Linked DNA regions of Rattus norvegicus. The protein of the gene in region 2 binds, or shares a complex with, the protein of the main gene of each other region. Links are inferred from orthologs where the notes say so. Each region holds a gene or a part of one and is shown on either strand. Other genes may lie near its edges. The genes, in order: Sav1, Stk3 and Rassf5.

Region 1 (3,745 bases), on a different chromosome or scaffold from region 2:
AATATCTATAGTCTTCTTGTGCACGATCTCCAAGTGGCCTCCTTCTCTGACCATCAAAAAAGTTATCTGAATAAAAATATCGGGAACCAGAGTCTCCATTTTCAACAGCAAAATTAACTTCTGTTAAAAATGACTGTGATGAGCCGTATTCCCGAGGGACATCCGCTAGGCTCCTGACAAGGTAAGAAGACGGTGCGGACAGTCTGTTGCTTTCTCTTCTCATTACTTCATGAGGCGTCCTTTGAACTGGAGTTCTCAGGAAACTCTGGTTTCTTGAAACTACGCCATCTCCAGAAGCTGAGAAAGCACTAGCGCTTGACTCTGGAAGACAGAGGTCAGTCCGTCTTGGAATTGTTGGACCGTGCCGAATGAATGAAGGCATGAGATCTACAATAAAACAAAGGCACACTTCATTAAGTCAGTGCACTCTTCTAAAGTTATTTATTTATGTCTACTACCCTGAGATAAAAATAGCAAACAAAAGGGTGTAAGAAAACAAATTTTAAATTTTAAGACAATACTAGAACTTTAAATTAAGATTATTTCCCCAAGCAAATACATTTATAATCTGCATTAATGTGCAGGTGTAAACTCAGCTACAAATGAATGGCTGCTGCGTATTGCCATATATAATATGATACTATGCCACTGAGAGGAAAATAATCTAACAAACCAATGCCAGCACCAGCATCTCGTATGGCCACAGCTTGGTGTTTTCACTTGATTTAAGTATCACCAAGCCTCTTTCCTCACACAAACAGTTTCATTAAAATAAGTGTTCCTCAAAAAAAAAAAAAAAAAAAAAAAAGCAAAGTCAGATTTCTTGTAAAAGACTTTTTATTAATAGTTTTGTCTCTCTACCCAGAATTGCCCAGTTCTAAGCACAATTATCAAAACTAGAATGCAAAACCTTTCAGTGTAGAAATTGAAAAATAAAGTCATCTAATCCCAAAGATGCACACAAATGCTGAGTCTACTGAAAAAACCTGGGAAAAGTTATGGTTCCTTTAAGAGCAGATAACTCCAAACAAGATAATGGGCTGCTGAAATCAGAATGTGCCAACAGCTTAGACGTTCTTAGAGAAAAAGCAACTGCCTTTAAACATGAACTCTGGATATAGAGCACATTTTCTGAATCCATTAAATAGATTACTAAGTGTGTCAGAAGCTAACACTACAATAACTTAGTATTGGATTAACAGTCGATTTACTAAGTGTGTCAGAAGCTAACACTACAATAATTTAGTATTGGATTAACAGTCGATGACAAACTCTGTACCAAGCCATTCACTAAAAGACAACACGTTGCATGACTTCAAACGATGTTTAATGAACTTTATTTGCAGCGAAAAAAAGCAAGCTATCACCTAAGAACAGAAAAACAAGCTAGTAAAAATGGTTTCAAGTTACTGACACATCCACCCCACCAACTTTGTTGTCCAGCGCTACAACTACTAGGAGAACCTGTAAGGTTTGACACATGGTCACAATGGAAAAATGTGCTCTCCACCCCTTTCTGCGTGATCTTGGGCAAATACTGTGAATAGCTTTCCCAATTACAATATGAGGTAAGGCTTAATTTAAGTCACACGGTTACTTCCAGCTTCCAAGAAGGAAACTTACACAAGGGGCCCAGCTCCTAGAATGAGAACCAAAGGATTAGCTCCTTCTCATAACTATTTTGGCTACCCAAGAATTTTAAAAAGGAAAATCAAGACGTTCGAGTTAAAAACAAATATTTTAAATGAAGAAGAAAAGTTATAGGAGGGGACGGAACGTACGCTGCAAAGAGGGATAAAGTTAGGAACTTGCCTGTCCTGCTATGGCTGAAATTATTCTGAGTACTTTTTTTTTTTTTTTTTTTTTGAAGTTTAGGAGCAAAGCCTAATTCGAATACTTTAGTAGTAGTGGCTACAAGTGTCTCTTCGCCTCACAAGTCTGTGTCCCGCTGCAGGACTAAGGAATCCAGTCTGGTCTGTGTGCTACTTAGGGTACAGGCGAGTGGCACCCGCGATGGTAGCAAACACGGGGCACGCCCCGATGTACCCAGCAGAAAGGTGCCCGGGTCGAAGCATTTTTTCTCCAAGTGCATTCCCGAGAGTCTGTCTTCCAGCACCAGCCACCCGAGGCTGCGCTGGGTCCACCCTTCACCGCCCTGGACACTCACTCCGCAGCAGGGGCGACGTCTCCTTCTTCACGTACTTGCCCTGAACCTCGGCCGGCTTAGACACCTCGTTTTTGGTTTTCTTGCGGGACAGCATCCTCGCGGACGTCGCCCGCCGCTGCCCCAGCAGCCTCGCTAGGGCCGCGAGCCCGCCGCCCGCCGCCGCCTCCCGGGCCGGCGCCGCCTTCGCCTCGGGTCTCCGCCGCCCGCGCCCGCCCGCAGGCTCCGCCGCATGTTGGCGGCGCTAAGCGCGCCCGCCGCCGCTCACTCGCAGGGCAGCTCCTCCCGGGAAGTCAGCCGGCTCAGCGCCGCCGCCCGAGGCCGCCTTGGGACAGGGCCGCGGCCGCCCACTAGGGCCATGGTCCGCCGCCGGGAGCCGCTACGGCTGCGGCCACCGCCTACGTCCGGTAAACTTTCCCCGCGCCGCTGGGAATGCTGGGAAAGTCGACGCGCGGGCCGCCCCTCCCCCGCCGGGCGCGGACGCGGCTGCGTGCGGCGACTCTCGACCGGCGGCTAACGGGCCGGGTGTGGCGACCACCCTGGCTCCTCAGCGCGGCTACCCCGGCCCGCTCCCGCCGCTGAGGAGCCGGAGTGCAGGCGGTCGGGAGCCCACTGGGCTGCGAGCCGCTCTCGCCTCGGACTTGTCGACCGCCCTGTTGGAGGCAGAACTGCCCACAGCCGCAGCCGCGAGTGGTTGCTGAGGGAAGGCGGCCCTCGGGTGTGCAGGGTTGATGGGGACGCGGGACCGGACCACAGCCAGGGCGGCACCTAGTAACGCGTATGCCTCTTTTGGTGACAGCGTAAAAACCGAGTATCCGTTTCTTCTGTCCTCTTCTCTCTTCCCAACCCTTGGTACTCCCACCCCTTTTATGCCTCCTCCCATCCGCTTTTTCGGATTAAAAAGACAAAGAAGATGGAGTTTCTACAACTCCTAAGATAAATTTGACGTTAATGTATTTATCTCATCATTTTAATATTTATACTTAATAACCACGTGCTTTTTCTTGCAATTAAGTCTTAGAATCTTGAGGCCTTTCAGCACCAGAGTTCAGAGCTGGGAGTTTTCTATCTAATTCATTGGATGCTACTTTGTTCTCTTTAACTCACTCAGGTACTCGTGTTTGGAAAATAAGATGAGACTCACTCCTCTTGACCAAAGTAAGGCTTTCATAAGAAAAGGAATGTGTTTAGAGCACAGAAGCAAAACTCCAACCTCATAACAAGGCACCAGAACTGCTCAGTATATTTTTTTTTTAGCCACGCACAAAGGAGACATTTTATCAGTTGTCTGTCTCCATGTTTTCATGAAATGCTTCCTTGTTAAAGGTTCCTGTGATTCTATAACAAATATTTTATTGAGCATCCAACATACAAGGTGTTGTTTTAGGTGTCCAGGGTATGACATAAAGGCCCTTCTGGTATGGGGAAGAGAGATCACACAGAATAAGACTCGTAAGACACAGTGTGTTACATAGTGCTGAGGTAAGCATGAGTAAGTGAGATCTCACAGTTCTGGAAAGGGGTGACAGATAACAAAGACAGCAAGAAGGCGGTGCTGGCATTAACTTGTCATGCAGGTAT
Region 2 (3,745 bases):
AGTTTTTGTGGTGATTCCCAGTACTGAGTACTGATGTTTAAAAACCTGACTTTACTGTGCCTGTGCGTGCACGAATGGTGTGTGTATGTGTGGAAGTGTGCGCATGTGCACAAGAGATGTGACAAGGGTGCCACATCACATGTGTGTGTGGAGGGCCAAGGACAACTTTGTGAAGTCCGTTCTTTCTTTACACTTGTGGATTTGTAATACTGTGTGGCAAGTGCCTTTACCTCCAGAACTATCTCATGTCCCAGTATTGACATTTCAATGGCTTAGTTTTTTGTTATTGTTCCTATTGTCCTGGGTGGATGAAACAGGTACCAGAATGTGTGTAAGACTTTCTGTTATTCAGTTTGGTTTGATACTCATTTTGACTTCATTCACCTAACCTCTAAGAAAACCTTGCCCAATCCTTATTTAAGAATATTCTAAAAAAATAAGCAAACTCATTTTATAGCTGTAAGAAGGTGTGTGTATGTATTTTATGGTTAAATAGTAGAGGAATGTGTGAGGGGTTAAGTTACAATGGGATTAGGGCAGTGTCCAGGACCCAAGAAAAAGGAAATAAATTTCTTTTGTATCTTTTCCCAAGCACCATAACTAGTGGTAGGTTCCCCATGTTACCCAACAGGACAGCCAGCAACCCTCTGGTGCTCTAAATTTGTGCACTGAGAAATTACTGCAGTAAATATTTTCTGTCGCTAGACTGTAATTATTATACCTGTAAACAATCAAAATCAACCGGAATTCCCAGAAGTATCCCAACTACTATAGTTACAAATGTCAAATGGCTTGGGGGATAGGGGAACATAACTAATAATAACTGATAATTATAAACAGGACCAGAGAGGGAAGTGTGGGCAGTTATACTTCAAACAGATTTACAATATGATTGGCATGTATTCTTGGGGAATCTAGAACAACGAATCAAATCTCAAGTGAGCTAACTCTCTTCCACCAGCAGAGTAGTTCTTGGGCTGCCAAAAAGTCTCCTTCTGGTAGCATGGCATCTTCTTTCTGAGCTGGGCACTCCTTTTGGTGGCTTCTCTCCACTAGTCTCACCAGCGCCTGGCCCCGCCCACCCCCTAGTCCGCACTCCGCCCCGCCCACCTTCCTCCGCTGCGCTCCGCCACCCTCCCGGGCCGCGCTCCGCCCCGCCCACCCTTGCTTCGCCCGGCTCTTCCCACCGGCTCGGAGCTGCAGGCCACGGCCCAGGGGCGGGGCGGCCGGGAGGAACCGCGTTCTGGAGCGGGAGGGAGATCCGCCGCGGAGTTACGGGAAAGTTGGTCCGAGTTCTCGGGAGTTTCCCGGTGTGGTCCCTTGCGTTCGGCCGGCTGCTCCCAGGCTCCTTTCCTTCCTACGGCCTTCACGGTCCATTCGGTCCCTCTTTCTGCCACCGGCCGCCATGGAGCAGCCGCCGGCGCCCAAGAGGTAAACGACAGCGGGAGCGGGATGAGGACGGAAGCCGCGGCGCGGGGCGGGGGCGGCTAGGCCCAGCCTGCCGCGACCCTGTCCTCGCCTGTTAGGCGCAGAGCGCAGCCCAGTTCGGGTGCCCAAGGGTCGGTCGCGCGCCTCTGCGAGGCCAGGGGCCCCGAGGGGACGCCTAGTCTCTGTGCCGACGTCCTGCGGGCCTGGCGCGCCGCAAGTTGAGTAGCCATCGCTGGTCTTCCCGCTGGTCTGTTGGCTAGGAGAGTCTGAGTAGCAAATGCACGAAACCTGTAGATGAGGACATCAATGCATCTCTCTCTCTCTCTCTCTCTCTCTCTCTCTCTCTCTCTCTCTCTCTCTCTCTCTCTCTCTTTCTCGTATTCTTAATATAAGCATTCTCTCTGAGAAGACGGATTGCTTATTTACAGTTTAAGGAGTAAGCTATATTAATAGCCACGCAGAATGTAAAACATTATGGATGTGCTGCAGTGACAGGTGTTTCCCCCTCCCCCAAGTTCTAAAGAATTTCTGGATACAAGACAGAAGGAATGTTAAGTTAGAACCCCTCCCCCATATAGTTTTACATGTAAAAATAGTGGTACTTTGGTATGCTATATGTTTAATCATGGACATATTGGATGCATATGTGTACAGTATGTTTGAAACTAATAATTTCAATGATCTTAGGAAACTAAATAAATGTCCATTGATAAAAGTTCATAATGTCTGCTCCCTGTTCTCCAAGAATGAATAAAATAATTGGCGCTGGGTAAAACGTTTACCCTCACTCTTTCATTTTTAATTTACAAAACGTTCTCCAAGAGAGTGCTGTAGTGAAGATTAAAGACTTGAGGTGCTCTGATAGCTAGAGGTCTTTAGATGTAAGGTGTTAGACTCACGAGGTGGACTAATTAAAAAGGCAGGCACTTTAAGAACGGTTGTGAATTGTGTGATTAGATATGTGAGCCTTGGGTTCTGGAAACCATCTGTTCAGATGCAAAAAAGGGAGGTTGTGGACAGGTTCCCAGAAGGGACAGGCTATCCTTCTGGGACCTGGAAGCAAGTCAGTTGATAGATTCTAGCATGTTGTCTGTTCTCCGGTAGACCCTGGATACTCCCCTCCCCCACAGTAACAGAAGAAAACCTGAAGCCTTTTTTTTTTCTTTCTGCTTTGGAAGGGCAATAAAGGCCTTTGAGACCATGGCATAGGCCAACTAGAATGACTGAATTGAAATAAAAGACCTTTGCAGGTTGGCTGTACTGTAAGCTATCAGTTTCATTATAGCTGTAAGAAAAGCCTGCACTTGACATCAGTGAACCTGGACAATCAGAAGTGGTGGGTGACAATTCCATAGTGACTTATACTTTATAAAGCCGTGCTTGCACATAAAACAGACTTATTTTTAACTTTACATTTCTCCAAAGACTCATTTGAAGCAAGAAATGTAATTCTTTTAGCTCTTTTGTTTTTTCCCCTCTTAGGTTGTACAGTTTGGCCTTGAGTTCCTGGGTTTAAGAGCTGCGTCTGCCTTTGACTCAGGAATACTTAGGAGTAGGATATAGTTCCTGTGCAGGAAGGGGTTTTTGTAAAATTACATTTTGTTTATTTGGTATCCCTGCCTCCCACATGATATGTGTGTGTGTGTGTGTGTGTGTGTGTGTGTGTGTGTGTGTAAACCCATGCCATTGCTTGTGTAAAGTCAGAACAGCATGCAGGACAAAAGATGTAGACCGCTAATATTTTATATATTAGCATCTCAGCATTCTATTTTATAGCATTTCAAATTAGTAATTATCCTCACTACAACTCTATGCAGTAGGTTGGATTATAGAAAGATTATAAAATCTCATTTTATAGATGAAGATACTATGAGTTTGCTAAATCAAAGCATATGAGTTACTGACAGTGAATTTTTGCGTAGTCCCTTTGATATCTAGTCATAAAGCACAGCTACCATTTTTGAAATCATAGTGTTTGCCATGAAATTTACACATTGTGACTTAACGTTGGGGCGTTTGTTCTGAGAGACTCGTTAGGTGGTTTTGTTGTGCATCTATCCGTGTGCTTGTACAAAGCTGTATAGAAGACCCATGCACCCACATCTGCATGGTCTGTCTGAAACATTTTTATGTGAAAAGGTTGCTACGTACCCTGCTTTTGGTACCCGCTTTTGGAAATAATAATCCTGGCTGGCCACTTCCTATGCTAGTTCTAAATTTAAGTGTCCTCACCTGTAAGCGGTATCGTGGGAATTAAATGGGCTCATGTAAAGCACTGCGTGAAGAGCTTCACAGCATGTTCAGTACTGCATGGTAG
Region 3 (3,631 bases), on a different chromosome or scaffold from region 2:
TGCTGGCCCGCTGTGCGCGTGCTGAAGTCCTGCAAATGGGCAGGCTGGAGGGAAGGAAAGGTCAGGGGCGAGTTCTGTTGGTGAGCGCCCCACTGTGCTTCAGTCAGTGGTGATGCCAGTGTGATGTGGGGAACTGTTGTAAAATTCCCCCAACCAAACCCACAAGCAGGTGTCAGATGGCGTCAGGTCATCCCTCTCTGGGCACCTGCTGCCTTATGTACCAGAGAGGATTCCTGACTGCCCAAGTCTGCTGGATTTCTAAGGTCGGGGTAATTCTGGGAGAATTTTCACTGACCAGCTCCTATACGCCACGCCACTCAGGGGAGCATGAAAACCAAACTGGGAAGTGGCCCTGAACATGAGAGAACTCCAGAGAACTGACTGTGAAAAAGACCTGTGTGGATCTCAGAACCCATACTGCAAGGAATACTGACATCCACATTAAGTTCATCCTTCCATTTTCCTGGGGGGGGGGGGGTCACAGAGTAAAGCAGGGAACTCTGTAAGAACGAATCTCGGTGATGCAGAGAGAACGCAGCCGGACAGATGTGGGATTTCTGGTTTGCTCTGCACATGCGGATGAGGGTCCTGGGCAAGTTGGTAAATGCCTCCAAGTCCCAGTGTTCTCCCTGGAAAATGGGGGTAACGTGTCATTGGGAATCAGGAAGTTGAGGTCTGTGAGATGTGGAGAGACAGCTTAGTCCTTCATATATAGATGAGGTCCCCAGCAAATGCTGACCTCGCAAGAATAGGGGGTACTAGCCCCCTGTCCCTAACAGTTCCTTCATGGCCAGTGACATGAGCTGACTGGCAGGCAGATGCCCTTGTCTGCTGCTATCAGCTTTCAGCACGTGCTCACACCTTTGCAGTGTTATCAGCACTTCTTGGAGATGGGCAGACCATGGCTTCATAGCTATCTGTAAGCACCTTTTCCATTCCAAACCACGATCACGAGTTCTACCCACTCACCACGTTCATGGCCAGTGCCCAGGTGTGGCACTGGTCTCTCAGCCAGTCTGGGATAGGTATTATTTCCATGTCATAGGTGAGGAAGCTGAGACTGAGAGAGATTTGAGTGACTGGCCTTTTGCTGCTCATGCTGGTACTTATTTCTCAGCCAGAGAGGCAGCATTTGGGAGGTGTGCTCACTGCCCTTTGTATCCTGAGAACCACTGAACTCATGGCCACTTGTCTGTTTCAGAATGTCTGTAAGGCTGTGGAGGAGACACAGCACCCGCCCACCATACAGGAGATCAAGCAGAAGATTGACAGCTATAACAGCCGGGAGAAGCACTGCCTGGGCATGAAGTTGGTAAGTAGAGCTTGTCATCCTTACCCAGCATCCTTTCTGCCCCTTCTCCACAGGAACAGCGACTCCTTTACAGCTCACTCTATGCTCAGGCCCAGCTTTCTGTGGCCTCAGGGACCCAGAGAAATAGCATAGGCTCCAGATACAACCTCTGTCCCAGTCACTCTCTGGCTACTTTGGGAAAGTTTAGCCTCTCCTTACTGCAGTGTAGAATAGAGATCTCCATGCCCCTGCCTAAGAGATCTTAGGGGAATTAAATGACATTGATGGAGGGGCTGGGGGCTCGAGCCCCAGGAAGCCCTTGACCCAGGCTGTCAAGCTTACAGTGCTCAGATGGTGCCCCTGACCTTGACAGATTCAGAGTTGTTTTTAAGGGCTGACACCAGGAGAGCCCTGCCCCCTGCTGGTGACTGAGAACAACTGGCTCTCCGGTGCTTCCAAGTTACCCAAGAGCCTGAGAAAATGCAGATGCCAGTCAGGCCAGAGTTGGGCTGGATCTCCCAAGTTGAGAGGTAGAGAGGAGCCTACAGACTCTGCCTTTAGAGTGAGACCCAACAAAGACCACTGGCACCTATCTAGCAGACGGTCGGGGTGGCTGGGCTAAACTTCCTGTGAGGGAAGCCCGAACCCACCAATCCTCTCTGGTAACTGGGCTCCAGACCTCCTGGCCCATGAGAAGAGTGGGTTATCTCCAGTTCCTCTAGAGAGGAGACTCAGGAAGGAACTCGGGTAGGCTGGCTGAAGTGGCCTGTCAGGTCTCCTGTAGTTCACAACCCAGAGTGCCAGACAGAATCAGGCAAGATGTACCTCCCCCTTGCAGAGTGAAGATGGCACCTACACAGGTTTCATCAAAGTGCATTTGAAACTCCGCCGGCCAGTGACGGTGCCTGCTGGGATTCGGCCCCAGTCCATCTATGATGCCATTAAGGAAGTGAACCCTGCAGCTACCACAGACAAGCGGACATCCTTCTACCTGCCACTTGACGCCATCAAGCAGCTACACATTAGCAGCAGCACCACTGTCAGTGAGGTCATCCAGGGGCTGCTCAAGAAATTCATGGTTGTGGACAACCCACAGAAGTTTGCCCTTTTTAAGCGGATACACAAAGATGGACAAGGTATGGGAGTTCCCAACCCTTTCCCAGTCTGCTAATGCCCACGGTCACTAAACTTCACTGTCTGTCCTGGATGGGAAGTGTGGGCTTCCAGGCAGCAGGTCTGTAGCCATCTGTGTAGTGTTGGGATTCATGGGCGAGCCAACATGAAATCTAGGCAGGACCAGGCAGCCCACGCCTACTGTGCCCAGCTCCATGCACATGTCCTCCATACAGGAAAGACACACCCTGGGCTCTGGTCTCCTGATCCCTGTAGTGGGAGGGAGTCTGCCCACTGCTCCTCTTCCTTTGGAAGATGCTGTCAATGGAAACAGGGCTAAACTTTGCCATACGGGGATGGAGGGCTCTGAGCCACCACTGCCTTGCCAGGGCCACACCCATGAGAAGAACCATGACTCTTTCCTTGTCTGCCCAACCTGTGCATTCCAAGCCCAGGCCCCATCCTGTCCTCTTTTGAGATGAGCGCCCAGCCCTTCTTTCTGTTTGCAGTGCTCTTCCAGAAACTCTCCATCGCTGACTGCCCTCTCTACCTTCGTCTGCTCGCTGGTCCTGACACCGACGTGCTCAGCTTTGTGCTCAAGGAGAATGAAACCGGAGACGTAGAGGTATGTCTGGACCCTTTGCAAAAGCCAGTCCTGGCTGGCTAGGTGAAGCCAGACAGGTGCTGCTGTCCTAACTGCAGAGTGTAGGTGGGGCTGCAGGACTGCCAGAGGCTCAGTGCTTAACCCAGGATCATCAGTGTGGCACATCACAGGAAAGCAAGTTACAACCTGCATAAGGTAAAAGCCATGGGACAGATTTCATCTGCTTTGTGAAAATAGGGCTGGTATAGGGGTGGGGGTCACACTGAGAAGCTCTGTTCAGGCCCCACCTAGTTCTGCCCTAAGGCCTGCAAGCTCCAACTCTCGGCTCTACTGGACATAGACATTTCTTAACCATTTCTTTTTCTCCTAAAATGCTGGTTTCCTTTTCAAGGGGGTCTAATCAGTGTTAGACTCCTGGCAAAAATGGGGTCAAATTGGGCAGAGATCCTCCAAGCCCAGAATAGGTGGGTGTGGTCTCCAAGGAGTAACTGGAAGAGGAGGGTCTGAGAGTTTATCAGTGTGCAGAGCAGGGTTGCTTTTGTTGTTTGGAGGAGTTGGGGGGGCTGGCAACGAATTTTGGAGGATCAGGAGGGCAGATAGGGCTCCACACTCATTTAAACCAG

The links.
Region 1: the proteins of Stk3 (region 2) and Sav1 are in contact, whole or in part, in a crystal structure (PDB 6AO5), measured with the Homo sapiens proteins. The link is inferred for Rattus norvegicus from reciprocal best matches to the Homo sapiens genes STK3 and SAV1. Residues at the interface, in NP_006272.2 of Homo sapiens: Trp429, Lys430, Val431, Pro432, Gln433, Gly435, Phe437, Phe439, Leu440, Lys441, Asn442, Leu443, Ser444, Leu445, Leu448, Gln449, Arg451, Leu452, Leu455, Asp456, Met458, Met459, Glu462, Ile463, Leu466, Arg467, Arg469, Tyr470, Ala472, Lys473; in NP_068590.1 of Homo sapiens: Tyr311, Ala312, Arg313, Ala314, Pro315, Asp319, Trp324, Glu325, Phe327, Gln328, Leu329, Leu332, Asp333, Gln336, Leu339, Lys340, Leu342, Phe343, Glu346, Leu347, Ile350, Val351, Met353, Tyr354, Ala356, Tyr357, Arg358, Ala360, Leu361, Leu362.
Region 3: the proteins of Stk3 (region 2) and Rassf5 are in contact, whole or in part, in a crystal structure (PDB 4LGD), measured with the Homo sapiens proteins. The link is inferred for Rattus norvegicus from reciprocal best matches to the Homo sapiens genes STK3 and RASSF5. Residues at the interface, in NP_006272.2 of Homo sapiens: Phe437, Phe439, Leu440, Leu445, Leu448, Gln449, Arg451, Leu452, Leu455, Asp456, Met458, Met459, Glu462, Ile463, Leu466, Arg467, Tyr470, Lys473, Arg474, Pro476, Ile477, Leu478, Ala480, Met481, Lys484, Gln488; in NP_872604.1 of Homo sapiens: Trp369, Asp370, Ala371, Phe372, Ile374, Leu377, Gln378, Phe380, Leu381, Leu384, Glu385, Glu387, Glu388, Lys391, Ile392, Val395, Gln396, Lys398, Tyr399, Phe402, Arg403, Lys405, Leu406, Ala409, Leu410, Ser413.

What each region holds. Positions count from the first base shown.
Region 1 is NC_086024.1:94,233,667-94,237,411, forward strand, and holds the start of Sav1 (protein salvador homolog 1), read right to left. Parts: upstream 2,433-3,745; 5' UTR 2,262-2,432; coding exon 2,168-2,261; exon of another isoform or gene 1,813-2,167; intron 388-1,812; coding exon 1-387. UniProt on the Homo sapiens protein: Regulator of STK3/MST2 and STK4/MST1 in the Hippo signaling pathway which plays a pivotal role in organ size control and tumor suppression by restricting proliferation and promoting apoptosis.
Region 2 is NC_086025.1:68,205,868-68,209,612, reverse strand, and holds the start of Stk3 (serine/threonine-protein kinase 3), read left to right. Parts: upstream 1-1,325; 5' UTR 1,326-1,405; coding exon 1,406-1,431; intron 1,432-3,745. UniProt on the Homo sapiens protein: Stress-activated, pro-apoptotic kinase which, following caspase-cleavage, enters the nucleus and induces chromatin condensation followed by internucleosomal DNA fragmentation.
Region 3 is NC_086031.1:45,192,694-45,196,324, reverse strand, and holds part of Rassf5 (ras association domain-containing protein 5), read left to right. Parts: intron 1-1,201; coding exon 1,202-1,312; intron 1,313-2,129; coding exon 2,130-2,427; intron 2,428-2,913; coding exon 2,914-3,029; intron 3,030-3,631. UniProt on the Homo sapiens protein: Potential tumor suppressor. Seems to be involved in lymphocyte adhesion by linking RAP1A activation upon T-cell receptor or chemokine stimulation to integrin activation.